Nothobranchius furzeri: one gene and its partners. The protein of the gene in region 1 purifies or fractionates together with the protein of each later gene. This does not show direct contact. Links are inferred from orthologs where the notes say so. Each region holds a gene or a part of one and is shown in the gene's direction. Other genes may lie near its edges. The genes, in order: ddx20, ago2, snrpe, snrnp70, gemin5, gemin2 and gemin4.

What was found.
Region 2: the proteins of ddx20 (region 1) and ago2 purify together in Homo sapiens (affinity purification with western blotting; 3 studies listed by BioGRID). This does not show direct contact. The link is inferred for Nothobranchius furzeri from reciprocal best matches to the Homo sapiens genes DDX20 and AGO2.
Region 3: the proteins of ddx20 (region 1) and snrpe purify together in Homo sapiens (affinity purification with mass spectrometry; 4 studies listed by BioGRID and IntAct, counting the BioPlex papers as one, with this or other methods). This does not show direct contact. The link is inferred for Nothobranchius furzeri from reciprocal best matches to the Homo sapiens genes DDX20 and SNRPE.
Region 4: the proteins of ddx20 (region 1) and snrnp70 purify together in Homo sapiens (affinity purification with mass spectrometry; 4 studies listed by BioGRID and IntAct, counting the BioPlex papers as one, with this or other methods). This does not show direct contact. The link is inferred for Nothobranchius furzeri from reciprocal best matches to the Homo sapiens genes DDX20 and SNRNP70.
Region 5: the proteins of ddx20 (region 1) and gemin5 purify together in Homo sapiens (affinity purification with western blotting; 6 studies listed by BioGRID and IntAct, counting the BioPlex papers as one, with this or other methods). This does not show direct contact. The link is inferred for Nothobranchius furzeri from reciprocal best matches to the Homo sapiens genes DDX20 and GEMIN5.
Region 6: the proteins of ddx20 (region 1) and gemin2 purify together in Homo sapiens (affinity purification with mass spectrometry; 6 studies listed by BioGRID and IntAct, counting the BioPlex papers as one, with this or other methods). This does not show direct contact. The link is inferred for Nothobranchius furzeri from reciprocal best matches to the Homo sapiens genes DDX20 and GEMIN2.
Region 7: the proteins of ddx20 (region 1) and gemin4 purify together in Homo sapiens (co-immunoprecipitation; 7 studies listed by BioGRID and IntAct, counting the BioPlex papers as one, with this or other methods). This does not show direct contact. The link is inferred for Nothobranchius furzeri from reciprocal best matches to the Homo sapiens genes DDX20 and GEMIN4.

The regions. Positions count from the first base shown.
Region 1 is NC_091755.1:61,016,249-61,020,185, forward strand, and holds the start of ddx20 (probable ATP-dependent RNA helicase DDX20), read left to right. Parts: upstream 1-1,137; 5' UTR 1,138-1,203; coding exon 1,204-1,399; intron 1,400-2,035; coding exon 2,036-2,130; intron 2,131-2,310; coding exon 2,311-2,479; intron 2,480-2,558; coding exon 2,559-2,673; intron 2,674-2,792; coding exon 2,793-2,935; intron 2,936-3,035; coding exon 3,036-3,174; intron 3,175-3,317; coding exon 3,318-3,376; intron 3,377-3,937.
Region 2 is NC_091751.1:26,608,895-26,612,967, reverse strand, and holds the start of ago2 (protein argonaute-2), read left to right. Parts: upstream 1-1,273; 5' UTR 1,274-1,463; coding exon 1,464-1,479; intron 1,480-3,122; coding exon 3,123-3,170; intron 3,171-4,073.
Region 3 is NC_091743.1:2,209,477-2,213,462, forward strand, and holds the start of snrpe (small nuclear ribonucleoprotein E), read left to right. Parts: upstream 1-1,186; 5' UTR 1,187-1,326; coding exon 1,327-1,380; intron 1,381-3,182; coding exon 3,183-3,209; intron 3,210-3,286; coding exon 3,287-3,349; intron 3,350-3,986. UniProt on the Homo sapiens protein: Plays a role in pre-mRNA splicing as a core component of the spliceosomal U1, U2, U4 and U5 small nuclear ribonucleoproteins (snRNPs), the building blocks of the spliceosome.
Region 4 is NC_091758.1:13,870,934-13,874,433, forward strand, and holds part of snrnp70 (U1 small nuclear ribonucleoprotein 70 kDa), read left to right. Parts: intron 1-132; coding exon 133-187; intron 188-259; coding exon 260-324; intron 325-411; coding exon 412-474; intron 475-1,547; coding exon 1,548-1,629; intron 1,630-3,500. UniProt on the Homo sapiens protein: Component of the spliceosomal U1 snRNP, which is essential for recognition of the pre-mRNA 5' splice-site and the subsequent assembly of the spliceosome. SNRNP70 binds to the loop I region of U1-snRNA.
Region 5 is NC_091750.1:72,369,291-72,372,790, forward strand, and holds the end of gemin5 (gem-associated protein 5), read left to right. Parts: intron 1-288; coding exon 289-436; intron 437-538; coding exon 539-658; intron 659-729; coding exon 730-940; intron 941-1,010; coding exon 1,011-1,265; intron 1,266-1,347; coding exon 1,348-1,510; intron 1,511-1,782; coding exon 1,783-2,197; intron 2,198-2,713; coding exon 2,714-2,801; intron 2,802-3,110; coding exon 3,111-3,275; 3' UTR 3,276-3,326; downstream 3,327-3,500. UniProt on the Homo sapiens protein: The SMN complex catalyzes the assembly of small nuclear ribonucleoproteins (snRNPs), the building blocks of the spliceosome, and thereby plays an important role in the splicing of cellular pre-mRNAs.
Region 6 is NC_091758.1:40,480,325-40,484,490, reverse strand, and holds the start of gemin2 (gem-associated protein 2), read left to right. Parts: upstream 1-1,366; 5' UTR 1,367-1,487; coding exon 1,488-1,609; intron 1,610-1,686; coding exon 1,687-1,768; intron 1,769-1,866; coding exon 1,867-1,956; intron 1,957-2,062; coding exon 2,063-2,149; intron 2,150-2,307; coding exon 2,308-2,424; intron 2,425-2,666; coding exon 2,667-2,711; intron 2,712-2,782; coding exon 2,783-2,851; intron 2,852-4,166. UniProt on the Homo sapiens protein: The SMN complex catalyzes the assembly of small nuclear ribonucleoproteins (snRNPs), the building blocks of the spliceosome, and thereby plays an important role in the splicing of cellular pre-mRNAs.
Region 7 is NC_091753.1:62,515,987-62,520,158, forward strand, and holds the start of gemin4 (gem-associated protein 4), read left to right. Parts: upstream 1-1,372; 5' UTR 1,373-1,468; coding exon 1,469-1,478; intron 1,479-1,811; coding exon 1,812-3,776; intron 3,777-3,865; coding exon 3,866-4,022; intron 4,023-4,095; coding exon 4,096-4,172. Other genes in the region: dhrs13b.2 (tapasin-related protein), read right to left, coding at 1-151, 246-521, 596-772, 877-922. UniProt on the Homo sapiens protein: The SMN complex catalyzes the assembly of small nuclear ribonucleoproteins (snRNPs), the building blocks of the spliceosome, and thereby plays an important role in the splicing of cellular pre-mRNAs.

The DNA.
Region 1 (3,937 bases):
CCTCCGCATGGTCCTAGTGCCCGATTTGTATCACAGTATAACAATTTTGTACGGTAAAATCTGACGAACGACCGGAAAAATGGCACTTTGGGCACTTCGGACAAAAGGGGCAGGGTCTCAAGCACCCTCCGCACCCCCCTCTGCACGTGCCTGGTATGTAGACTTTATAAATTTGGCAAAGGAACTTTTTGAGTTACAATTTTAGCTAACTGCCTCTCCTGCCACGCACGGTCCACGGACGGACCCTCGCTAGCTGTTTACATTGATCATACGATCAAGTCCAGTAACATTAAAAATAATGAAAAGCATCACTGCACATGACAGAGGAATATTGAATGTGAAAGTGGCACTGTTCTTAATTAATGCATCAGAGGGTTAAGTTGCTTTGTGTGTGTGTGTGTGTGTGTGTGTGTGTGTGTGTGTGTGTGTGTGTGTGTGTGTGTGTGTGTGTGTGTGTGTGTGTGTGTGTGTGTGTGTGTGTGTGTGTGTGTGTGTGTGTGTTTGTTTATTTTCTCACAGCAGAAGAACCCAACACCAGCGCACTCCAGTGCTCCAGTCCAACAGCCTGAAGAGACATCATCAGCTTCAACAGATGTCTGTGAACATGTATGAGCTGCTGGCCCCATGGATCCTGCTGACTGGTCACAGCAGTTGAACAAAATGGAAAGTAGAACTTTCTTTATGATGACACTGATGTTTGAGTTTTCCTTTTGATTGCACAGTTTAATGCTGCTTTTGATTTTGCACCCCCCCCCCCCCCCATGACATTTGCACAACATTTTGAGTTGTTATTGTAATATTCTCAGGTTACTTATCTTTCAAGCTTACATTTAGTCTTCAGGCTGTTGACTTTAAAGAGCTGCTGTGTGAATATTTAAAATAAAAAATTAGTAACTAAGGAATAACTGTGGAGTTGCTTTTTCCAATGTGTGGTGGGTGGGTGGACTTGGGTTTGGGTGAGAGGCGTGTGGGCACGGGGGGGGGGGGGAGGTCTAATGGGCAGTCTCGCCTTGGGCACCAAATTACCTAGAGCCGGCCCTGCGCTCATCCTGCGTTGACTGCGTATATAAATGTCGATGGTTGACTGTCACGCTTTCAAGTCAAGTGCACCTCTCCTCCCTGTCGCTAGAGAGCAGTGTAACAAATCACTGCTCTAAAGCGCTGTTAACGTCGCTCTCCTTTGGCCGCTGCTGAACAACAATCATGGCTGCCTCCTTGAAGAAAGCCGCTCACGACATTAGTACCCGAAAGAGAACCGAAGACGTGCTTCTGGCGGAGGGGATCGACTTCACCTCTCTGCTCCTGTCTCCGGCTGTTCTGGAGGGGCTGTCCGCTGCTGGCTTCCAGAAACCGTCTCCGATCCAGCTCAAAGCGATCCCCCTCGGCCGCTGCGGACTTGGTGGGTCCAGAGATCAGATGCAAAGGCTAGACCACACGTGTGTGTGTCGCTGTAGCTTGTCACGATCAGGTTGTTTGAATTAATTTTCGTTCTGTCAAACAGAAGGTGACCTAAGAGTCACACCTGAAAACTGCAGAAACGCGTGAAATTACTTGTTTATTTAAATCAAAACATAATGTCGCAATGGTAGCCTGAAACACTCTGAACCAACTTTAGTGTGGGAATTAACTTAATGTCTGAACTGTACTGTTGAGGCTTTAGTTCCAACTCCCATCTGCTCAGTGTGTACAGAGAACAGTTGGTGTTACTTTGTATTTCGATCAGTGGATTATAGTTTTAGCAGCTTTGCATAAATATTTTCACTCCTCATTTAAATTTTACACCCAAGGGAATAATTCTTAAATGTAATAAAAACGTTATGAGTGAATAATTTCAACAGACGCACATTAATATGAGCCTACGTTTTGGTATTAGTTGCCAAACTTAAAAAAATCCCAATTTTAGGTCACATGATATGAAGCAGCATATTAACTGCCCATTTTGATTGATTGATTGATTGATTTCACCCAATTAATTCAAATCTAAGCTACGATTGTGTGTGTCTGGAGTCTGACTTTTTTAAATTTGCTGTTTCAGATCTGATTGTGCAAGCTAAGTCTGGCACAGGAAAGACATGCGTGTTCTGCACCATTGCCTTGGATTCCCTTGTCCTTGAAAATCCAGCTACTCAGGTGAGTGTTGCATGAGATCAAGAGGGAATTTCAGTTATGCTTCAATTGTAAATTACTTTTTTGCTAAACTTCAATTTGCCACCAGCAGATGATCAGAAACACTCTGGTTTGGAATATCTTAATCTCATGATTAAGATATTTTGAAGTTTTAACACAGACCAGTCTTTCTGCCTCCTGCAGGTTCTTGTTTTGGCCCCTACGCGTGAGATAGCTGTACAGATTCACTCGGTGGTGATGGCCATTGGCTGTGCCATGGAGGGCCTGGAGTGTCATGTTTTTATCGGGGGCCGACCTGTGAGTCAAGACAAAGCCCATCTGAAGAAGTGTCACATTGCTGTGGGCTCTCCCGGTAAGAGGCTGGAGGGATGGAGCTGTATCACCGTGCTGCTCGTTTGTTTGGTCACAACATTTTTGCTTTGCACGCTCAGGTCGCATCAAGCAGCTCATTGAACTGGGTATGCTGTCTACAGCCAGCATCAGGCTGTTTGTTCTGGACGAGGCTGACAAGCTGCTGGAGGAGGGAAGCTTCCAGGAACAGATTAAGTAATTTGGACTTAGTTTCTTTTTTTATACTGATGTTTAGCACCAGGCTGCAAACAGCTGAGATCCAAACACGGAAGTGATTGTATTTGAGTTTCACCCATCTTTCTGCTGTCTCTCAGCTGGATCTTCTCCTCGCTGCCTGTAAACAAACAGATGCTTGCACTTTCTGCCACCTACCCAGAATCCCTTGCTCAGTACCTCACCCGCTACATGAATGAGCCCACCTTTGTCAGACTGAATCCAAGTGACATGGGCCTGAAAGGTAATGATCTGAAAGCTAAAGGGAAAGCAGTTTCATAGAAGAAATCCACCCATTATGGGTTATTTTACACTGTATAATTTTAATATATTCCTGGTGTCAGGTCTAAAGCAGTATTACAAGCTGGTGCCCTCCCATCCTCTACCTCACAAGATTTTTGAGGAGAAGGTGCTGCATTTATTGGAGCTGTTCAGTAAAATCCCCTTCAACCAAGCCTTAGTGTTTTCAAACCTGCACACAAGGTAACTACAGCTTTAACGGTCTTCTTCCTCGTTACAGCTGCTGTTGATTATTACTAAAACAGACTAACAAAAAAAAACACACATTCAGATTTGTAAGTTAAGATTCATCTCTGAGATGCTTCTGTGCTGGATTTCACCTACAGAGCTCAACACCTGGCTGACATCCTATCCTCCAAAGGTCTACCTGCGGCTTGTATATCAGGTGAGGAGGGTAAACTGTGGTTTCTAAGGAAGGTCGATTAATAGAACAGTTTAATTTGACAAATGGCACTAAAATGAAGAGTAAAGTGTGATTATTTAAGTCATTACAATAATAAAAACATAGTCAAATAGACAACAGAGAAATACTTTAATATGTTGTTTGAGAATTAGTAGTTTTCATTCATTCATTCATTTAGATGTGCTTGTTGCCAGTGATGAAAGGGAGTCTGATGTGCTTGGTATTGTGCTAAAGTTTGCACTCCCCAGGGCTTTTTGACCCTAATGGTAAAGTCTTACGCCAACACAAAAATACCGATTGTTTGCAACGATTTAGGTATCTACTGTCCCTATCGCTAGAAAAATACACACCGTCACTTTAAAGGGAGTCTATGCAACTCTTTCATATTTTAAAATAATTTTCTTGAGCCAGTATGTGCTAAAATGACCCGTTACAGGTTTAATGAAATGTCACTTGGACCATCACCGCCCCTGTGGACACAACACCGCACTTGCAAGTTCAGTTGCTGGTCTGGGCCCTGTTAGATCCCACTTAAGTCTTAGT
Region 2 (4,073 bases), on another chromosome or scaffold:
TTTAGACACAGTAAAAGGACCACATTACCTGCATGTGCATCATGTACATCACACTTCATGACTGATAACCGCTGCAAAATGTAAAAACCCTTTTTGGTTCATCATAATGTAAATTTGTCTGCCTTTGTTACCAAAAACCGTAGTTTGAGTGCATCCGAACCTACATCATAACACGGAGCCAAACAGCCTGTTTCCCATCAAAAACAACGTGATTTGTCCCTCTGTGTCCCTGAGACGGAATGGAGACACGTCTAGGGTGTCCTCCACCTCTCATCTAATGACTGCTTGATATAGTCACTAGACATTTTGAAAATTAATAAACATGTGTGTGTGTGTAACTCGTCATGAAAAAAGAACAAACACATATAAATAGTCCCTGAACCTCTATACTGTCTGTGTAATCAGTTCTCCTCATATCATTTTAGTGTTTTATTCATAATCAACTTCTGACATGCGCACTTTACACCAAGCAAGTTTTAATTAAATATTTTCACCATCAAAATATAAAAAGCAAACCACAAACAAGTTGATTTCAGATTGCTGAAGCTTCCCATATCACATTAAATGTTTTAATGCATAGCAAACTAAAATGTGTATTTCAGCCGCTTTATTACCCCGGAAATACTTCTTCGGTCTTTAAGTTGTTCCTGTGACTTTTTCTTTTTAGTGACTTTTAAATGATACGCATCGGATATCAGTTTAATGATGTCGCATCAAAGTTTAGCTCTGATGAAAAATGAAAGAATAGTTTTTCCGAATTTTCGCTTTTGATTCGGATGGACGCTAAGAGCGCGCAACGTGCGTCTGATGTCACTGAACCTTCCCGCTGGCAAGATAAACCTCCCCATTCATGAGCATTAACTTTTCCACCATGATCGAGCCAAATAACACTGTTAAAGATAACGAGCGATGTTTGAATGAGTTAGCGACAAATTGGTAGAGACGATGTATCAGAAAAACTTATTTATTCAAGTAGAAAAACACTAGAATTCCTGAACGTGCAGCTCTTTTTTTCAGTCTGATAGTGAGGAGTAATTCATTAACATTTTCATTTATGTTTGTGCAGTTTCAAAGTTAGCTCATTCAAATTACATTTCTGACATGTGAATCCAATAAACTGATTAAATCATGATTCTATGTCAGATAATATGACACAAAACAGAAGCTTTGATCGGTTTTGAGAACGAAAGCCCAACAGCGGAAGTGGACGACAGCGAGTTCTCTTGCCCCGCAGGGATTTCAATGCCTCCGTTCGTCTCTGCTCTCGTTTTGTGTTGGGGGGATGGGGTCGTGCAGAGGATGAGAGACTCCAATATTTACCACTTGGCTAACTAAACTTCTTTATCTTCACCTTAGTTTGTTGGAAATACCCAAGTCTGTAGGTTCTGTGTGAGGTTAGGCGGAGGTTGGTCTTCTAAAAGTGGAGTACCGGTCGTCCACCATACGCTCAAAAAGTCGACAAAATGTATTCAGCTGGAGGTAAGTGCTACTAACCATTAGCATCGACTAAGTGGATGATGGATTTCTTTCCAGAACGGCATCAATCTACTGCCGATACATTCTCCGGTTTTGTTTTAATTAACTTATTATTATAAAATAAGTTCTTCAACGAATGATGCATCCTCGACTTAGTGGAGGCGTTAGTACCAAAAGCGAGTTTAGCTGCATTAGCCAAGTTAGCTTTAGCGGCACCTCGTTTCCCCAACTTGGTAAACTTCCTCTGCCCTTAAACGAGGTGGAATGCAGTCACTCGACAAACTGTATAATATTCAACACACATGGTGGGTTTTATTTGCTTTTTTCTTTAAAAGCTGCCACATGCTAACAGTAGCATTTAGCGGCAGCTCATGCTTCCTAATCTCAATCACAAATCATACAAATGGTTACCATAAATGTGTCAAATGAATAGGTTTAAGTTCATTTACATTCTACATCATTTCCCACAAAATTTGTAAAAAATCGAGAGTTGGAGCAATTTTGCTCGCATCCTAAGCAAAGATGGGACGATGTATGTAAACAAAACCAGAATGCAAGCATGTGTTTGTCACGTAAGACCACATTTTTAACATCCGACACAAATACAGCAAATCATAAATATAATTTCTGGGAAAAGGGATGATTTCTGCTTTGAACCACAAGCTCGTTAGAGTAAAGTGGGGATAACTAATGACGTTTGGCTCATGGGCAACAACAAGTTAGCTTGATTGGGTTCAAATTAACATCTGTCATATAACTCATTCTCACTCTCACACACACACACACACACACACACACACACACACACACACACACACACACACACACACACACACACACACACACACACACATATATATATATATATATATATATATATATATATATATATATATATATATATAGACATGTTTCATCTACATTTTATTAAGACATTAAGAATGTTTCTTTTTGGCAGGGCAGGTGGTAATTAAGTTTATTTATTCTTTATTTAACCAGGAAGGTCCCATTGAGATTAAAAACTTCATTTTCAGGGGAGTCTTGGGATTGGTTAAAAAATATATAATCAACAGTTGAATAATGGCGATTAGTTATCTGCTTAAATGCTGAGGTAGGAAGGAAAATGCAGAAATTTAACGAGAAAAGTTTATAAGCAGTTTAACTTTTTTATGCAGAGGCTGAAAATAATCACCTCTGCCATATTTCATTTGCATCTATACCTTCAGGCATTTGTTCTTCTCCATGAGCCTTATTGAAATAAAACTAAACAATGAGCTGAACTGTATCAGTTCTGGGCTGTTTCCTTATGAACGGGTGGCTACATTTATGCTAGATTACCAGCTCGTTTCATCCCGTCTGTGTGTTTGTAGATTAGACATACTTCATTGCAGACGATGGTGCTGGCCGGGATGTGATAAAAGACCGTCTGAAATAGTTAACGATGTTCTGAATTAAAAAATATTTAAAATGGGAGATTTTTTTTCTTTTTTCCAGGTTTTTTATAAAGATTTCTGACTCTATTTGCATTTAATGCTGTAAAACTAGATTTCTGTTTTGTGTTGGGTGCTTTTTTTTGTTTAAGTACAGAGTACTTGAGTCCAAGTTGGATCTTAAACATTTCTAACGTATAATTTTATCCCCTCTAGGTGCTGAGGTTATGGAGAGGCCACATTCTTCTGGGTCCATAAGCTCTGGTAAGCTTTCTTACTTCTAAGCTCTGGTCCCAGGAGAAACATGATATATTAAAAAAAAATATATATATAAATATATATATATATATATTACACCTTTCTGTCATAATGAGATGCACTCTACACAGTTTAACTTCTGATTAGATTATTAAATTATCTACAGAGTATTTCAGCAGGGCTTTGGAGCTTATACCTGTGAAATGCTGATTTTTTTTTCTGTGAAGGACTTTGTATGTCTTATACTGATGTAGTCATTTAAGCTTTGTTCAGCCAAAACGCAAAGTGCTGATGTCATGTGAGCCGTTTACTCACATCCAGGGTATCCGCGGGTCCTTAAAAAGTCTTAAATTTACTTTTCCAAATTTAAGGCCTTGAAAATCCTTAAAAATGACAAATAATCCTTAAATCCAGTTTCCAATGGTCTTAAATTACCAAAGACCCAATAAACAAGATTATTTTATTTCTATAAAAATTTTCGTGAATTTCTAAATTTGGCTCCCTTAAACCTGCAGATACCCTGCACATCTTATAAAAACTCCACATGTTTCTATTAAATTGACACCAGAGACAATTCTGAGATGCTTCTCTTTGTGGTGTAAGAGTCCTGGGGGGAGAAAGCACGTCACTGGTGTTTCAGTCAGCTGGTCGTCTGCTCGGTGCATCAGGGTCATCGAAGGGTGTTTGTATGAATGACCAGAACTGGAGAGTGGAGATAAGGCAGTGAAGGAGTCTGTGTCTGTTCTGACACACTCCGATATCACAGGACCTCTAGAATAATCAGCTCCCATTAATAATAATAATAACAACCTGTTTATTTTCCTGGCTGTGCTTATAGGAATACCTCAGTGTGGATAACTGAATGTGCTGGCCACTGAAACTCCCAGTAAATTAAAGAAATGTCTAGTT
Region 3 (3,986 bases), on another chromosome or scaffold:
TCCTGAAAGGCGACACCTTGGCCTGCACCACCAAGGGTCCTTGCCTTCCCCCCCACTCGCAGAGACTTGTCTGTCCTCGGCTGCTAATTATCAACCCACTTTCTCCTCTGTGAGGCAGGGACAAGCCTGTGTTGCATGTTATTAATACTATTGTGAACTACTCAAGGCTGTGTTCCTTGACTCGGCTCATCATGTTACAGGTTTACTGTGCACAACAGAGAAATGGCAGACCCCGTTTTTTATAAAACCACCTATAAATATCACGGGGAACGGCTTTGTCCAGCAATGGTCAGATTCAGGATTTAAAGGCCTTCTTCCTGGGAAAAGAGGGGCTTTATACACATCAAGATGAGGAATTAACTCTGTTTTTGTCCATCTATTAACCAAGTCTCATATTTACAAATGGACTGTAAAATCTGGAAAGTGACACAGCCCCATCTAGAGGCCAAAAGCCCCAGACTGACGACACACTACAAAATATACGCATACAACTTTGTTTTGACCCCCAGGAGGTATGAGCTCAACTCAACAAGCCAATCACGTGATCGGATCTAATCCTGGAACAACACCTCTGGGGACACAAAAGCCATCCAGACCACAGAGAAAAAACCCAAACCCATCAGACTTCTGACTACGTAATCAGATCTAAAGGTCTCAGAAAAAAGTCTGGCAGACAAAAGGAGCTCAGGAAAAGTTTAGTCAGGCTACAAGACCTTTTTTCTGAGACCTTTGATGCAGTGCGGCCTGCTCACTGCCTGCTACTCCCGAAGAGGAAGCGAGCCTTTGTCACTCACTATCCATCAGTCATCATCCAAGACACGGCTGAAGACGCTCTTCTATGATTTGGCTTTCAGATTGTGACTTTTTAAAGTTCTCTTTTATTGTGTGTTTGATTGTAGTTTTTATCTGCTTTTATTGGCTGATTTATTGGTGTTTTTATGAGTTTTATTGTTACTGTATTGTTATGCGCATTTGGTCAGCTCCCATGCTGCTTTTAAATGAAATAAATAAATTGGTACGGTATGAAGTCAGAAGTCTGATGGGGTTTGAATGAAACCTGCTTTTTTCCCTCCATGCTCTGATGTCTGGCACCTGAGGGTGTGCTAAAACGAACAGGCTGCTGCAGTAGAGTCCTCCGTCCTGCGGAGGCGCTGTTCCGTTGCTGTTTGTTAAAAATCGGTTAATCAGACCGGTTAAAGATCCTGCTCGCGCGGAAACCTGCCATTGTAGCTAGCTCTCAACGCGGGTCAAACGTTAAGGTGCATTTGGTCCAGAAGGTGCAGTTTTTGTTTACCGAACACATTTCGTTGGTGTTTTGCTGGAGAGATGGCGTACAGAGGACAAGGACAGAAGGTGCAGAAGGTCATGGTGCAGCCCATCGTATCCTTTGTATGATGGAGAACGCGTGAGTGGAGCTAGGTGTTTAGCAGCCTGGCTAACCGGTGGCCCAGTTCGCTGAACGAACGCGCGGATTCCGTTCCAACTGTGTGATTCTGGTGTTTATGAAAATTAATGAGATGATGCACGTGTTCCGCATCATGTCGGAGAAAAAGAAACGGCCCCGAGGCGAACTTAGCAGCAAAACTAGCGCCGCTAATGCTAATGGCTCCGGTTAGCTGTACCGCTGGAGGTGATGGGAGCTTCTGATCTCCTGAAGCATCGGTTATCCAGAGTACTTTGTAGGACTTTGCAGTTGTAATCGAAAAGGTTCTGAGGACGCCATTGTACAGCTGCCCTCCGACCTCTTCGGGAAATGGCTAAAGGGCAAATTATTCTCTACTCTGACCACCTTTAATCTGCTCTAGCTCGAAAACGACACCACCTGCGCTCTTCAGCCCTGTACTGCAATATCCTAGACTAATGGCAGGTTACTCGAACATAGTTTAAATAGTCCATGATTCATCACATGTGAATTGGATGAACTAAACATTGAAGTTGGACGGTGAAGTTCTGAGTTTTAATTTTATTTTTGGTATTTTACATGAAAAGTTAAAGTCTGTTTATCTGCAGCACTTAATAGCTGATCAGTTTAATCCTGATCTTAATGGGCTTTGTAAACAGTTAGGCTCTGGTCATTTCTCATGTTTAACATTTTATTATCGGGTGAAACACGGGTCGCATTACCAATTTGGATTTTAATATTTAATTTCTACAAGATATACAGTCAGCAGCTATCAGATTATTAGAATTTAGAGTGAGCTGTTTAGCTGAATCCTTCTAACGAAGTGCCCCTAGTGCACACGCGATAATGAATCTTAAGTATACCTTGTTAGATACATGAGCTCCTTAAGGGCTCCTCTACTGAAAAGTACTTTTAAAGCCTGAATTAAACATCTGTCATATTTGAAACAGAGCTGTGAAACCAGGGACCACAAAAAGGTATTAAATGGCCTTTTAAGTAAAGCTTTCACAAATATCAGAGTTGATTTTAATTGTTCTGCTACCAGTGCAGAATAATCCAGTACAGGTTTGAAATGTCTAGGTATTGTTGTTTTGAAACTATGGCTGTTCAGTGTGGTCTAGATGCAGAAAACGTGCTAAAATCTGGTTTCTTGAAGTTTCACAAATCAGAAAAAGGTTTTACAAATCACAAATGATGTTTTTTGCAATCTGCTATTAGTCTAGAATAATCCAGTTCAGGTTTGAAGAGTGCAGGTGTTGTAGTTTTCCAGCCAGAGCAGATTAAAGATGGTCAGAGAAAAATTGGGCGTAATTGCCCTTTAGCGGTTTCCCGGATCTGAAGCCAACTTCAGCCTCGTCTTCCTCAGCCTTTGTGGTTTATAATAACAATAAGTGTAAACATGTTTGTTTGGGTCTAACTAAAGTAGAGTCGGTCAGTGGCATTGGCCCGAACACGAGCAGAACTCCTCTGTGCCGGGTCGGTTACATTGAGATTGTTTGGAGTGGAACCTGTAAGTGAAACCTGAATGAAGGCACGGCCCGAGATGTCCGACCATCAGTCCCAGCCCCGCTGTCATTTATTTTCAGGACATGGTTACCAAATCCTATGTACTGATTTTTATGTTGGCAGCTGCTGAGTGTAACTCTGTTACTTTAAAATGTAATAAGTTACTTTTAATGGCAATGAATAAAGGTAACACTACAACTGAGTACAAATGTAGGCTACAGACGTGCGTGTACTGTTACTGCTGAGCGTTGGTTTTCCTTGACTCTACCTTCAGAACCTTATCTTCAGATACCTTCAAAATGTAAGTTGCTATCCCTTTAGTTTGAAATGGTTTTATTTAGATGAAGAACCTCTAAGTTGTTCCCTGCCTGTCCCCAGCGCTCACGGATCCAGGTGTGGCTGTATGAGCAGGTCAACATGAGGATAGAGGGCTGCATAATCGTAAGTAATGGCTTTGTTTCATTCTTCCTTACCTCCATATGCAACAGGGATGCCTGATAGGTTATCTGCTGCTGGATACCCACGTGGATGGGCTGTTTTTCAGAGTGTTTTCAGGGCCTGTGAAAGGATTTTTTTAACTTTAAAAACTCACCTCACACGGCCCAGAGTTTCTCTAAAACTCATATTAAATATTGAACTTCCTCCGTGCCGTATTGTTCGTTGTAGGATGAAAACTTTACACTTGTCCTGCGGGAAAAGTTCAGCAGGTTCTTTTACGTTTTTGCTGCATTACAGCCTCATTTGGGTCCTAGTCCTTGATCTCTGGAGAACACAGCTGCACCATGAGAATATGAAAGTGTGTCAGGGCTAGGGTTGTCACGGTAACCGGTGTAGCGGTAAACCCCGGTAAAAAAGTTGACAATAGTAATAACCGTCTTGTTTTTAAAAAAAACTATATTATCTCGGTGGATTACCGTGGCTGCGGTGTAGGCGCGGTGACCCTTACCAGCCACCGTATCATCTGCTGAAGTTGCCGGCGGCACATGCGCACTTTGTTGTTTACAACCAAAACTTTCTTTAAGCTAAAGCTGAAATAATGGCCAGAGGAGGAGACGGCAGCACTCAGGACATTTATTAT
Region 4 (3,500 bases), on another chromosome or scaffold:
GAAGCCCTCGTTTCTATATTTGACACCCATCAGATCATCATTCAGAAAACGCATCAGCGGCAGGTCTGGATCATGTCACGCATCCTTTTGTTTTCCTGTTGTGACTCAAGAGTTTTATGTCCTGTTTTTCAGAGGCGGGAAAAGATCGAGAGACGCCAGACGGTTTTGGAGACAGAACTGAAGCTTTGTGAGTGGGACATCAGATGTGTGCTGTGGTGCAAGGGTTTATGTTGACGCTATGTTGTATGTGTGATTTCAGGGGACCCCCATAATGACCCAAATGCACAAGGGGATGCGTTCAAGACGCTGTTTGTTGCCCGAGTGGTTAGTATGAAACCTGTCCTTAGTGTTAACTCTAGAACGAGTGTGTCACCGCTGCTAATGCTGGGTGTAACCCCGTCTCTCCTCCAGAACTATGACACTACGGAGTCCAAGCTTCGTCGTGAGTTTGAAGTCTACGGTCCCATCAAACGAGTGAGTTCATGGCTGATCTGCAGAATGCATTTGCATAGGGATGCACCCATGTGAAAATGTGGGCTGATTTTAATATGATGTTGCGTCCCATAAGTGATATTTACCAGTGTTTTATTAAAAAGGGTTTTTTAAAGAAAGATTGCACCTCATAGAAAACGTACTGTCATTTGTCAGGTGCACCTGAATGTAGCCTCGTCCAGAACAGAGCTATTAGATATTTATTAGGGGTTCATAAGTATATTACTGAGGTGGCCCTAGAGGGTGATGGGGTGGGAACCCTGTCTGGTCAAACGGCAGACCTCACCAGAAAGGTTTCTAACTGGGACAAATCTGATATCTTTGCTCTAATTTCCTTTAATAAATGTACATTTTTATTTTTTAATCATTTACAACTCAAACTTTCAACAGCTCCACCATTTGTTTAAATTTAAAGACCAGTGGAAATTTGATGTGCTTAAAAATTTATATTCAGTTCAGAAGTGATTTTATGACAGAGCCTTATGTTGCTTGTAATCTAAAAATAGGCAACAATCACTTTGTGCACAGTTGCGCACGAGGGTCCTGCCTCTCGCCATTGCAGTGGGGCGATGCAAAGGGTTACAGGAGGAGCAGCGTTTGTGTGATTTTAGATGTTCTAGAAGATGAATTTCATTCCCTGTTTATAGTCCCGATGTATAACAATAGTCTCCGATTGTCCGTTTGAAAAGATTCAGAGTAAAAATCCTGATGTATTTTGGTCATTTAATGGCAAAATGTGAAGTTGGCTTTTTGATAAATACATATAGTGTTAAAACCTAGACAACAGGTACTTCATCCCGTTGTGTCTAATGATTTTGTAAGCGTATGTCCATTTCTTCTTTTGTAAATAGTGTCTTATGAGCCTTTATGGACTGGGCACGTGTTGTGCATGACACTTAAGTAAAATGTATTTATTCATTCATGTCCTCAGCTGTAAGTACCATAATCGTACATAAAAGGTGGGATGGTGTTGTTATGGGAACCGGGCTGACACCGCTCTTGGTGTTGGTCTGAATGGTTGAGCTAACCAATGTCTTCATGTTTCTGTCTCCCAGATTTATATAGTCTACAACAAGAAGACGGCAAAGCCCCGCGGCTATGCTTTCATTGAGTATGAGCATGAGCGGGACATGCACTGTGAGTACCAACCTCTCTGCAGCCAGCTCATTCTGTATGTCAGCACACTCATGGGGTCATCTCTGACAAAAGGGACTTTTTTCATTTAAATTTACTTTAAAAACTTTTTAGCTACAGTTGTTGGGTGGACCATCTGATGGGGCAGATGATGTCATACCATCCAAGTCAGCAGATGACAGTTTACAGGCGAACCGTTTGCATGAAGCCATAGTCTGTTGTGCGTGCGTGTTTGCTGGGCATGTCTGATGTGTTGGTTAGTTAAAACCTGGGTTTGTGGGAGGGTGAGGCAGAGTGATCTATCTGGGGAGCGTAATAACGGAGGTCTGAGTGTGTTTTATCTGTGAACCTGAACATGTTTGCTTGTCGAAGGGCACATTGTTAACTGAGAGGTGTTGTAGTTCTGTGGAAGAGGCGCTCTGCTGGTTGGACTGTGATGGTAAGCTCAAGGTCAGACTGGACACCAAACATTGATGGAGCCTTTTGCTCGACACTCGTTGAATCCCACTTTGTCATATGACTAGCTTTGTGAGGTCTGTCCATTTTTATTGCTAGTCTTCAATTCTGGTCATGGTGAGTCACGGTACAACTCATTTGGTAAGATGGTTCTTAGTTTTTATCCAGTTTTGGTCTAAAGTGAACCAACTGTTATCTAAAGCTGAGTTTATGCTTCTTGGTTGGGTCGGTGCAGAGCTTCTAGTGTGACTACCATAACAGTCTGTAGAGGAACCCACCTAATAGCAGTGGGTGTTTTATCCCGATAGCTCTCTGTGCCTTTCAAACAATGGGGCTCGTGATCAGTGTAAACAAACCGTGTAAACAAACGTGCGTCGCAGAGTTGGGAGAAGGGACGTTAAAATCTCAGAGGATGCAGGATACAGGAATATGTTAAAGACGTCGGAACCGCTATGTGGACAGAATCAGCGTTGTAAACTGTTTGGATTCATGGGTGTTTCTCAATGTCAATTGCTCGCGGACCGTGTCGCTGTCAGCGGAGAGTCGATGCGCTCGGAACGCTTCCCTTCCATGCGTCTGTGTGTGGGGATCTCTAGGCGTGGTGCGGCGCCTGAGCCTGTGTAGGGGAAACACTGGCTTCCGATAGAAAACAGACGGTGAAAGTCTAGGATTAGAAAATCCTGACAGATCTACGTCACACTGTCACTATCATTCATGGACTCACCATCTTGACTCACGACGGGAAAGGCTGTTGTTCGTTTAGCGACCAGCAAACAGCAGAGATCGTGTCCGCTAGTAGAAGCTAACCATTAGCAACTCCACCACACAACAAAACTCCTCCAGGCTTGTTATTTTTATCTTGAGAGGCGCTACATAAAAGATTTGTTTTCTTTCTTTTTATTTGTGGAGGTAAAACATCAACGTTGCAAATCAGTAGTAGAGTGAATTTTTCTAAGCAAAACCTCTGAAAAGGAACAATAAATATTTCAGGAGTTCAAAACCTTTATACAATGTAATCATGCCCTTTATCAATAATTTAAATAATGTGTGTGTGATTTACATGTGTTAATACAGATGTGAAATCAATTCATGTAAAATAATGTGACTATTTCTCAGACTGCAATCGTATCACCAAAATATATCATTGTTGCAACCCTAGTTGTATCAGTGCGCCTGCATTTGCTTACCAGTATGTATGTGTGGCCTGTGTGTGTATGATGGGTAGGGCTGAAACAAATCATCGAATGGTTCGATTCATTAAATTCCTCAATTCATTATTTTTTACTGATTCAAACACTTTTTACTGGCGCACTATGTGCTGATCTTTGTAATATACAACTCTCTGATGACTTACTATTATTTTTATTCTGAGCTACTACAGCAGGTCTGAGATTGATTAAGTATTTTTGAATTTGATT
Region 5 (3,500 bases), on another chromosome or scaffold:
AAATTTAAATGTAATGAACATTGGAAATACATTGGTCTGTGTGCATTGCATGAATATAATGTACAAGTTTCACGTTTTGAATGGAATTACTGAAATATTTTCAACCTTTTGATGATATTCTAATTTACTGGCCAGCACCTGTATTTCTCCAAACTGAGGCTGTTTAAGCCTCTGCCCCAGAACCAGGATGTCAGATGATTCGTGTTTATTCTGGTCCTGCCCGTGTGAGCTAAAGACCCGAGTCAAGTGTCAGAACATCGTGTCACTTTCTTCTTCCTGCTGTTGCAGCTGGCTTTGAGGTGTGGCGCCGGACGGTGGAGGCCTTTGTGAAGCAGCTGTGTCTGCAGGAGCAGTACCTGAAGGCAGCGTCTCACCTGCTCTCCGTCAACAAACCGTACCAGGCTGTGGCGCTGCTGGAGTCCAACAAGCTCTACAGGTTCTGAAGCGCTGGACCAGACGGGTTCACCTGTAGGAACCCAGGTAGAACTGAGTGGTTCTGATGTTTGTCGGATGCTAACGGAGCGGTTCTGTGTGTCAGAGAGGCGATCGCTCTGGTTCTGGCCCGGCTGCCGGCAGATGAAGTGGTTCTGAAGAACCTGTACACGTCTTGGGCCGCTGTGTTGGAGAGAGACGGACATTTGTCTGCTGCTGCTAAATGGTCAGAACCTTCAGAACTTATGTAGAGCATCTGCTTTAGTGAACTAACGGGTTCTTCTGGTTCCGGTCCAGTTACCTCGCTGCTGGCTGTGGTTTCGATGCAGCCAAAGTCGTCTCCAGAAAGAACGACGTTCCGTCTCTGAGGACGGCCGCCAGCCTGGCCCGGATCTCCGGAGAGGAGGCTCTGGCCCAGTCGCTGGCTCTGAGATGTGCCAGAGACCTGGCTGCTGCTCACGACTGGGTCGGAGCGCAGGATGTTCTGGGCTCACAGCCGGGCCTTCTGGTGAGAACCCAACCAGAACCTTAGCGGGTCGTTTCAGGTAAAGATGCTGTTTGACCCCGGTTCTGTTCAGGTCCACAGGATCCACCTGTGTGTGGCTGAGCTGCTGGCGGCGCTGCTGGACAGCTCCGAGGTCTTCCCTCTGGCTCCCGGCGCCTCCAGCCATCCGTGGGCATCGCCAGGTCAGAGATCCACCCTCTTTCTGGACCGGGTCACTGATGTGTGGGAGGAGGAGTTCGGTGTTGGAGCCGACAGCGCAGATGTTCTGCTGCAGGACCTGAGGAGGGTGGAGAGTCCAACACCCAGCACCAGCATCCCCCTCAGACAGGTCCAGTCTGGCCCGGCACGGTCCAAAACAACAAACTTTCCATTCTTTAAATCAGCTGAAGTGCATGTGTCTCTATCGTCAGGTTCTGCTGTACTGCTCGGTCCACCTGACCCGGGCGCTGCTGAGCTGGTTGGTGGACGACGGCCAGCAGCTGTTGGAGGAGCTGTGGCGGGCGGCGTCCTGGCTCCGAGACGAGGGACACTTCTGTGTCTCTGCAGAGTTCTGCAGGCTGCTGTTCCCCGACGGTACCGAGCCCATTCGGACCTTTCCATTCACATTCAGCTCCAGATGATCAGAAACCCATAATTCTGTGTGTGTGTGTGTGTGTGTGTGGGTGTGTGTGTGTGTGTGTGTGTGTGTGTGTGGCCTACCACAGCCATCTGCTGGTGGTGATCTGCAACCATAACCCAAAACCACTGATTCATCCTTTTGGACCCGTGTGCTCACCAGAGACCGGGTCAGAAGCTACCTTCTCCATTTTTACTCTTTAATCAAACCGAGCCGTTTTGTTTTCCAGGAGACATCCGGGTTTTCTCCAGGAGACATTCCAAAACTCTTCATCCCACCACAGAAGCATCCAGTGCAGCGGCCAGCAGCCTGCAGGCGATGGTCTCCTACCACCGTCTGTACCGGTTCTGGTGGAGAGACTCGGCGGGCAGACAAGACGTCCAGAACGGACTTCCTTCTGAACAGCCAGAAGACCAGCTGGAGAACCCAGATTCGGAGGAACTGGACTTTGATGTGTCTGTCCTTCTGTCGGAGCCGCACGCCATCAGTCAGGCTGCTCACAGATCTGTGAAGGAGATCCAGGACCAGCTGGCCGCCATGGTTCTGCAGCACAACCGCGTCCTGGGGAGTCAGCTGGACTCTGGGATCCAACAGGACCAAAGTCCCTTATCAGACGGTCCGAGCGGTGCTGATGCGGAGCAGCGGTGAGGCTGTTTAACACCAGTGTCTCTCAATTTGTCCAATTATTAGATCTAATTAGATCTCACAACTAATCTGGTTGTTTATTCAGATTATTAAACAAAAACTCAGATTACAGAATTAACAAGTTCAAGTTTATTTATAAAGCGCCAAATCACGACAAGAGTCGTCTCGAGGACCTTCACATAATAAACATTCCAATTCAGGTCAGTTCATTAAGCCAATCAGAAATAATGTTTCCTATATAAGGAACCCAGCAGGTTGCATCAAGTCACTGACTGTTAGCGACTATACGGCAATCCTCATGCTAAGCAAACATTTAGCGACAGTGGAGAGGAAAACTCCCGTTTAACAGGAAGAAACCTCCAGAGAATCCTGGCTCAGTATAAGCAGCCATCCTCCACGACTCACTGGGGATCGAGAAGACAGATTTCTCTCTCTCTCACACACACCCACACACGAAATGTCCCCAGAGCTAATCTGGTGCCTGACTTTTAATTTGACCTTTGTGCTCTGTTCAGTTCGGAAAACCAGGAGACGTTTCTGTCTTTGTCCACAAAGATGTCCAAATATCAGAAGGAGCTGTCGGACCTGCCCGAATCCATCAAGGTAAAAAACACACACACACACACACACACACACACACACACACACACACACACACACACACACACACACACACACACACACACACACACACACACACACACACACACACACACACACACACACACACACACACACACACACACACACACACACACGTCTCCAGCTGCTGATCAGGAGTTAAAGCTTCATGAGGCTAAAGCAAAGCGGTGAAAACGAGTTTCCTCGTCCTGCTTTAACTCCGGACGGACGTTTACTAAACATCGTTCATTTTTTGCCGACTAAGTTCTTTCTGGTATTTTTGCTTTCCAGATGTTCCCTCGCCCAGATGTGGTGGAATGTTGCCTTGTTCTCCTTCATCTCAGCCGGTCTTCGTCATCCGTGTCCGACGTTCTCCAGGAGGAGGCCAAAGAAATGCTCCGTAAACACGGAAGCAGCCGCAGCGTTCTGAAGGCCATGCGGAGACTCTGCTCCTGATCGGAGCTCGTCATGCGCCGCTGCTGTCAAATAAAGAACTTTAGTAACGAACCCGGACTCCAGAGGGTTGATTTCAGCCGTTCCCTCCAACAGGAAGGAGAACCACTGATGAAAATGAAAACCGTTTGTTTCTTGAGTTCTAGAGCAGAGCCCGACCCGCTCCATAAAGAACAGGACAAACAAAGAGTTTACAATTAAAATACAAAACAGTTTAATGTACAACAG
Region 6 (4,166 bases), on another chromosome or scaffold:
TATTAGATTATGGGTGTGTGGCATATAATTCAGCAGCAAAAACTACTCTTTCAAAATTAAATTCTATCCAGAATCAGGCACAGAGACTCTGTACTGGAGCATTTAAAACAACCCCAATAGCAGCGTTACAGGTAGAGACGGGTGAGATGCCAATAGCAATCAGACGAGAACGAATAGCTTTAAATTATTGGGCAAATCTTCAGGGTCAGGAAGAAGATCATCCAACACGAGACATACCAAAACCTTGCTGGGAGAAAGAAAAGAAGGAAACAACAAGTTTTGGATGGGTGATGATCAAAAAACCAGTAGAACTTAAATGAGATCGGTTTACAATCAGTCAAAGAGTTCCATTACCTGCTGTTCCGCCATGGATTCTTCCTGAGGCGTCTGTTGATTTATCATTATTAGAGAGAAAGAATATGGATAAGTCTTTCATACTAAACTCACATACAGCACAGGATTATATCGATCACTATTATAACTATGTAAAAATTTATACAGATTCTCGCAATCCTGTTAGCAGTTCGATGGGTGGAAGAAAACAGACCATTATTCTCAGTTATTTGTTCAGACTCCAGCTCATCATTAACCAGTTTAACGTGCAGCCATTCAGGAAGCAGACCAGACATACTCCTAGAGATTCAGCAAACACTTTATAGAATAAACACGATGGGACTTAAAGTACATTTTTTATGGATTCCAGCTCGTTGTGGAATCAGTGGAAATGAAGGAGTCGATAAGATGGCTAAGGAAGCTACAATAAATACTTCGGTTCAGTTAGATGTTCGATTTTGTCAGAAAGAGATGAAGAGCATAAAAAGGCGAGAAATGAAGAAAAAATGGCAAAAACAATGGGAGGAGGAAAGGAGGGGAAGATGGTTGTATAAAATTCAAAGAAGAGTAGGAGAAATAAGAAACACTGGAAGGAGTAGGAGAGAGGCGGTGATCATTTCTAGACTGAGGTTTGGACATACTGGGTTAAACAATACGTTATTCATGATGGGGAAACATAATACAGGGAAATGCGATTATTGTGGAGAAGAAGAAACTATAGTTCATGTTATATTACAATGTCGGAAGTATCAGGCAGGAAGAAGGACATTGATTCAAAATCTTAGACAGATCAAAGTGAAACTAGACCGACAGAATTCAAAAAGCGACTGTTTTCTGATTTTATTTCAGTTTTTAAAAGAGATAAGGATGTTTGGGAGAATTTGATGTATATATGTATTTGTATATATATGTGTATGTATGTGTGTGTATATATATGTATTTTTTTGTTCTTTCTTTCCCGTGTTTGATTTTGTTTTATGAGCGCTGTTCCAGACCACACTCCACACCAGTTGGTGGCGGTAATGCACCATTCGTTGTTCGCCAACCGCCAATAAAACACCAGAAGAAGAAGAAGATGGCGACTGTGCTGTAGTGAAACTTGCGTGTTTTTCATTACCTGATTCGGTTCCGCTGTTCTTTTACTTTATTAGAACATGAAGTCGGACGTGGAGGAGTTAATGCCGAGGCTCCTGCCGCTGGAGACCGGAGGCGGGAGCGGAAACCTGGACTTGAGTGGAACCCCCAGAAACCCCCAGGAGTACCTCCGACAGGTCCAGTATGTTCGAGCCGAACCGTCTCGAGAATCAGAACCATGTTCGACCACGGAGCTTTATAAGTTTGGTGTTTCATTAGGTTGGAGGCCTCTTTATGCCCGGAGGTGGTCGTTGCTCAGATCGATCCCACAAAACTGAAGAAGCAAACTGTTAATGTGTCGGTAAGTGACACACACACACACACACACACACACACACACACACACACACACACACACACACACACACACACCACATGTTTAACATGTTTTGGTTCCAGGTAGCAGGATGTCATGCTGCTCCTCAGGGCTTCTCCCCCAGCCTCAGGTGGCAACAGCAGCAAGTCAGTAACTTCTCTGACGTCAGACAGGTGAGACTTCACAGTAACACACGTTACGAACATGTCCACACAGTAACACACGTTACGAACATGTCCACACAGTAACACACGTTACGAACATGTCCACACTGGACAGTGTCCTTTAGTCACTTTTGTTTCTCAGAGCATCACCAAGAACAGGCAACACTGGAGGAGCCAAATTCTGGATGACAACGTGCAGATGGTGAGATTTTTATTCACTACTCAAACCGAAATCAGCATTCTTTCAAGGGGAGACAGAAATCCCATGTTAAGGTGGATTTGAAGCACCTGTAAGAATCTTGTCATGCAGCATCACACTGGAGGTTTGGTTTATGCAAGCTTGACGCTGGTGTCTTACAGCCGAGGCTGACCGATGAGGAGGGCTGGAAGAGGTTTTGTTTAGGGGAGAACGTTTATCAGGGAACTTCATCCGGCCCGACGGATGCACACCAAGAACCAGCATTGGACTACGGCAAGGTTATACAACTGTTTACACCTTATTGCCTTTGTGAGCGCTTACTCCTCAGAATGAGTTTACCTGATTTAAATCGATCAAAGCTGAGATGTTTCCACATTCTACTTCTCCCACAAAAGCAAACAATCTAAACAGATAAAGTGTATTTATTTAATCCTTTGATGATCCGCCACTCATGAAAATTCTGTGGCACCTTCATGAGACCAAGGAAGTGAAGTCTCACTGATGGTTTGTTTGGGTCTAGATTGGCTTCCCTCCCTTCCTGAGCATCGTAAGCAGACTAAACCAGGTAAACGGGGGTCTACGATGACATCCATGTTGTTTTTAGCCAGTTTAACAGTCTTAATATTTTTGTCTCAGTCCACAGTTCTCATGTTGTTAGATGTTCTGATCAGCTGGTTTGAAGAGCGAGAGTTTGTTCCACAGCTGGTGAGTTTGCTTCTCGTCTCCAGCTGGTTGACAACAAATCTAATGCTAGTGGAAATATAGTTTTTTAAATTTTCGCACGAAAATAAATTGTTAGAACTCCAGGGCCCTCATTCATCAAACAAACTTATGCACAGATCTGCACGTAGGAACAGTTTTACACACTGCATACATGTAGCGACATGAATGGCCATATTTGTGACCCAAAGGTCACACTTCCCCAGCTAGGTCACGCTGTCCTGGCTGAACTTCTGTCCACAGATTATCCATCACAGGAGACGCACAGTCTTCTAGAACCATCTTTAATCTGACTGCCTTTAATCTGTCTGCTGTTCCATCCTAAGATGAAGGACACTTCAAGATTTAAAATAATCATTTTTAATAAACTCTTTTCACTGTTTATTACAAGGTTCATAAATAATCATCACGGTTCATTATAAATGTATTTAATTACTGAAATGAATTATTATTCTTTGGTTAATAATTATTATTTATGATAATCAGTAATGTTTACCAGTGTAAAGAAGGTCATGTACACTTATACACACCATGCAGGACACTGAATTCAGGGTAAAGGTAACCACCTCACATGTCTTTGCTCCATAACCAAAGCTTTCTATCTCTGAGAGGGCGTGTTCTGAGTTTTAATAAAACCCAAAACTCCTCAGTTCAAGCTGACAGTTCTGAACCAACCAAAACCTCTCCGTGGCACGAGAGTCCCAGAGGACAAGGGTCGGCCGCCCGAAGCCTCCACTAAGCTGTTCTGTCACGCTGATAGAATCGCTCCGAATAAACGCCACCTGCACCAGCTGACACAAAACTCCTTCAGAGTTAAGACGCAAACTCAACACCTGTGTGCCAGCGGCAACTCTTGGACCAGAGAGTCGGTACCACTCGCGCCTTCCCTACCGGACCGAGTACCCAGAGGCTGACAACATCCTTCCTTGACCTCCGGATCCACACAGAGGGTCGCCTGATGGGTGAGGTAGAACACAGATTGCGTCTGATGCTGTCATCTCTAAGAAACAACTTAGTTAGCTGCAAAACAAACTCTTTCACCCAGAACGCGTTTCTCTCTGAAAGAAACCTTCTGAGATTCCAGTCACACATCCAACACACGCATTTCATTTTAGCTTTCATCCAGACACAGGTTTGCTTTTAATACCAAGTTTTAATATCAAAGCTGTTATAAATTGTCATCTTTAAATTGTTCGTTATAAATTCTTAACTTTTTAAACCTGACTCTTCTTTGAAATGAAACACAGAATGGTGTAAATTTGGTTATTGAACGAGCAAAGATTCCTTTAAATATTCCGAT
Region 7 (4,172 bases), on another chromosome or scaffold:
AACAGTCGGGTCCTCTCCCCGCGGCGTTGCCAGTGCCACTCCACAGTGGTGTTTGCTCCCCGGTGGTCCACACTAAACTGGCAGTGGAGCTTTTGTTCAGATCTCAGGCTGGTTTTCACCAGTGGTGTTTCTGTTTTCATTACCATGGCAACTGTGAGACCAGATGGACAAAGACAGAACACAGAGAAACACCATCAAAGAACCAGAACTGGAGCTGTTGGCATTATGGAGTGAAACTAACTGACCTGATGTAGTGAGCATCTGTCCATCAGTGATGGGAACCCAGCTGAGGTAGTCCTGCTTTCCTGGTGGAGGCTGGTCAGACGGGTGTCTGAGGAAGCCGAGCACAGTGAAAAGGCCCTGGTTGTGTTTGAGAGAGACGGAGAACCAGTGGTTGTACTCCCTGGCCTTCTGACTGGGCCAGTGGACATAGATGCCCTGTGTGCTGTATCTACGCAGCTCACACTCCAGCTGTTCTGCCTCCACTCCCTCCACATAGTGCCGCATGTCCACCTTGGACCCTGCAGCAGAACACAGAAGAGTAAGGTGCAACCGTTGTCAGGTGTGTAATGGTGACCTGTGTCAGGTGGCTTACCTGTGACCTGAAAAGTGATGGTGCGTAGATCTACAGGAGCTTCTCCTGTCTGACCAAACTGCAGCACAGCATTTCTGGGGATCCGCTGGGTCTCTCTATGTCCTTCATTGTTCATAATCACCTGTTCATCTGTGAAGTGACAGGGCAGCCATAGTATCTGCTGGCTACAGTAGACCCCTGGAGACAGACCAACAACTCAAAGCAGCTGATCCGAGTGGGCTTCCTCCAAAAACACAAACTGTCCCCACACTCGCAGGGATACAAGCCTTCTGAAGACTTACCTGTCCAGATAAAACCGTAAATAAGAATCCTGCAGGGTGGAACCATGGTTATTCATCAGATCTACTGATCCTTGTTCCTGCTTCATTCAGCTGCACATTTATTCTCAGAACACTTTCGCTTTCATTTACAACGAAAAAAAACCTGCTTTGCATGCAGCTGCATCACGTGACGAGCAGAGACAGTTTCACAAGGAGAAATACTGCAAAACACTTTTAAATGTCACTAAAAGCGAGTAACGTTTAAACCATCACACGTAGGGCTGAACCGGTGTTCCGGTCTGGCGGCAGCACTGGTGAACGCGGTGTCTAGTCAACAACGCAAAACCTCGCAACAGTAAAAACAAACCAGTCAACAATCCAACAGAAAAGGCGAGGAAAACAACAACAACAACAACAATAACAACAAGGTGAAGCAGGTTTGGCGGTTTGCTGGGTTAATGCGGCTGCAGTACCGTATCTATCCAGGGGTGGCGCTGTGGGGACGCCTCGCCACCTGACAGCAGCCCGGCTTCCTGCTGGAAACCGGAAGCGCCTTTCCTGGTAACGAACTGGTTCACGAGGCGGGCGGGTGTATGTTCCTGCCTCCGCAGCCATGGACAAAGGTAATTATTAATGTTAGACATGTCTCGTGAACTTGCGCGAGCTTCGTCTCCAGTCGGTAGAGACGAACATGGCGCTAAACGCTCAGGCTGAAGCAGCAAGCTGCAGGTTTGAAGAGCCCTCTCCTAGCCAGTCGTTCGTTCTGGACCTGCTTCACCTGCAGCCTGCCCCCCCTTCACACACACACACACACACACACACACACACACACACACACACACACACACGCACACACACACACACACACACACACACACACACACACACACACACACCTGGATAACGCTGATCTCGGCCCAGCTCGGGTCTCAGCCTGTTGCTTGCCTGTTTTTCAGATTCCGCCGTGCTCCAGGGAGCTTTCCTCCAGGCAGACAAACTGTGCCTCCCCTCATCCCTGTCCCTGATGCAGAAGGCGGACTGGAGTCGTGTGAAGCTCCCGATCCTGCAGGCCCTCAGAGACACCTGTGGGCTGAGCGCTCTGGCCTGGCAGAAGAAGGTTGTTTGTGTGGTGTGGTTGAAGCTGATGAGCAGTGAGGCTGAGGAAGATGTGGAGAAGGGGTGGAGGGACAACCCTTTCTTCTGCCTCCAGAACGGCCTCCCTGACGTAAGCCGGGCTGTTCTGCTGGAGCTGGTGAAGTCACTCTCAGCTGCGCCGGTCTTTGCCCGCTTGCTCCTGCGTCTGCCTCAGCAGCAGATCTGCACCGAGCTGCAAACGCTGGCAGAGCATCTGAGGACGGATCCCAGTCCTGAAGACGTCTGCTTTCTGTTGGAGGTGTGGTGGGAGCTGTGGAAAGGCAGAGACAAATGTCAGACGCAGGAAGACAAAGACTTAGAGATGATGTTTGTCAGCCAGTTTGCACGCCTGTCCTCCGATTGTCCCAGTGTCTCGCCTCAGGCTGCAAAACGCTTAAAGCTGGACCTTCCTGCATCGTCAGCAAACACAGACGTTCTGCACGTTCTCCTCCATGCTCTTAAGAACATGAAAGATCAAGTATCTACTACAGATTTGTGCCTGCAGTCCCTGTTAGTCTGCCTCGACGCTCTTTACACATCCTTCCTAACAGACCCAGAGGTTGTGCTTCCAGTTGAAGAGAAGTTGCTCATCCTCTGTAGGCTTGTTGACACCAGAGGACAGACGCAGGCGTGGAGCCCCAAACTCCTTCAGGAGGCTCTGAGAGACCTGCGTGCTGCTCACTCACCAGCTCCTTTTCAGCCCAGCAGGATGACGCTGAGCCAAGCTTTGAAGATCGTAGCAGAACTCACAGAATTCTGGCTGGAACAGGATCTCCTGAGCGCTCCTGGCTGCTCCGCGTTCCTGCTGCAGCAGAGCGTCCAGAGAGTCCTGGCAGCTCTAGAAGAAACGGGAACATCTGAGCATGTGACTGAGAAGAGCACACTCAGAGGTCTGCTGAGTTCACTGTCTCTTCCTGCCGTAGAGACCCCCCCTCAGGTGCAGGCTCAGGTCGCTGCCACCGTCATCAGTCACCGCCTGGAGGACTGTGAGGAGTTTGCTGCGCTGTTTGCCAGCCAGTTGTCCTGGACTCATGAAGAGCTGTGGGTGGACTGCCTGGAGAAGAACCACACGGCCTTCACGCAGCCCAACACCCTCATCAGCCTCTCCTCCACCCTCGTGAGTCGCCTGCAGCGTGGGAACGTGAACACCACCTGGTGCAGGAGAGCCATTAAAACGGCTGCAGATGTCTTCTCTGCTCTTTCGTTAGAAAACCAGAACAAGGTCCTCGCTGCAGTACCGAGCCGCTCCAGCAGGGGCTTCTTTGGCTGCTCTGTCCCCTCGGCTGTGGCAGACGGCTTTGAGCAAGAGCTGAACATGGCCTTTAACTGCCTTATCCAGGGAGGGGGCGGGGCCTCAGCAGCAGTGTCCCAGGGCCGCCTGACCACAGCAGCCTCTCTGGTAGCTCGAGTGGCCTTTCAGAGCCCAGAGGCGGCTTTAAGGTCCTGCTGCCACGCCGCCGTTTTCAACAGGGGAGCCTTCAGCCTCATGGCAAAGATCCTGCAGCAGCTGCCTGGACTCCGCGGACGGAGGGGAGGGGAGGATGAGGCAAACGGAAACGATGTGGAGCAGCAGGAAGCTGGAGGGCGTGGTAGTCTGTTCTGTAGGTGTTTACAGACGGCGGTCAGAGGCAAGCCACTGTCCGCCTGTGAAAAGGAGCAGCTCCTCAAGTTCCTGTCTCTGCTCATGGCGCCGGGCCCGACGCTCCAGGGAGAGCAAGAGACACAGAGGTTCTTGTCTCCACAGGAGGTGGTCAACACACTGGTCCTGCCTCGCCTCTCAGCTGCAGGTCGGGGTCCATGCTGGCTTTAATCTCATCTGTGTGTGATCTGTAAACGCTCGTCACATTCTGCTGCTGTCCCATCTGTGTTTCTGCAGCTGAAGAGTCCTGCGATGCAGAACTGAGTCTGCAGCTCCTCCACGCTGCTTTGGCTGTGGGTGTCCAGGAAGTAGCCCCCTCCCCTCACTGGGTGTTGGACTGCTCTCCCTTCCCCCTCCTCTATATTCTGGCCCAGCAGTACAACCAGACTCTCATGTGTGTATGATCCCGTGTGTGTGTGTGTGTGCAGCGGTTGTTGTTGGGCTTCTACTCATCTGATCTCTGTTAGGTGCTGGGAGCGGTCGTCGGAGGACAGCGACCACCTGAGCTCCATGGACACCAAGGAGCTGCTGGAGTCGGTGCTGA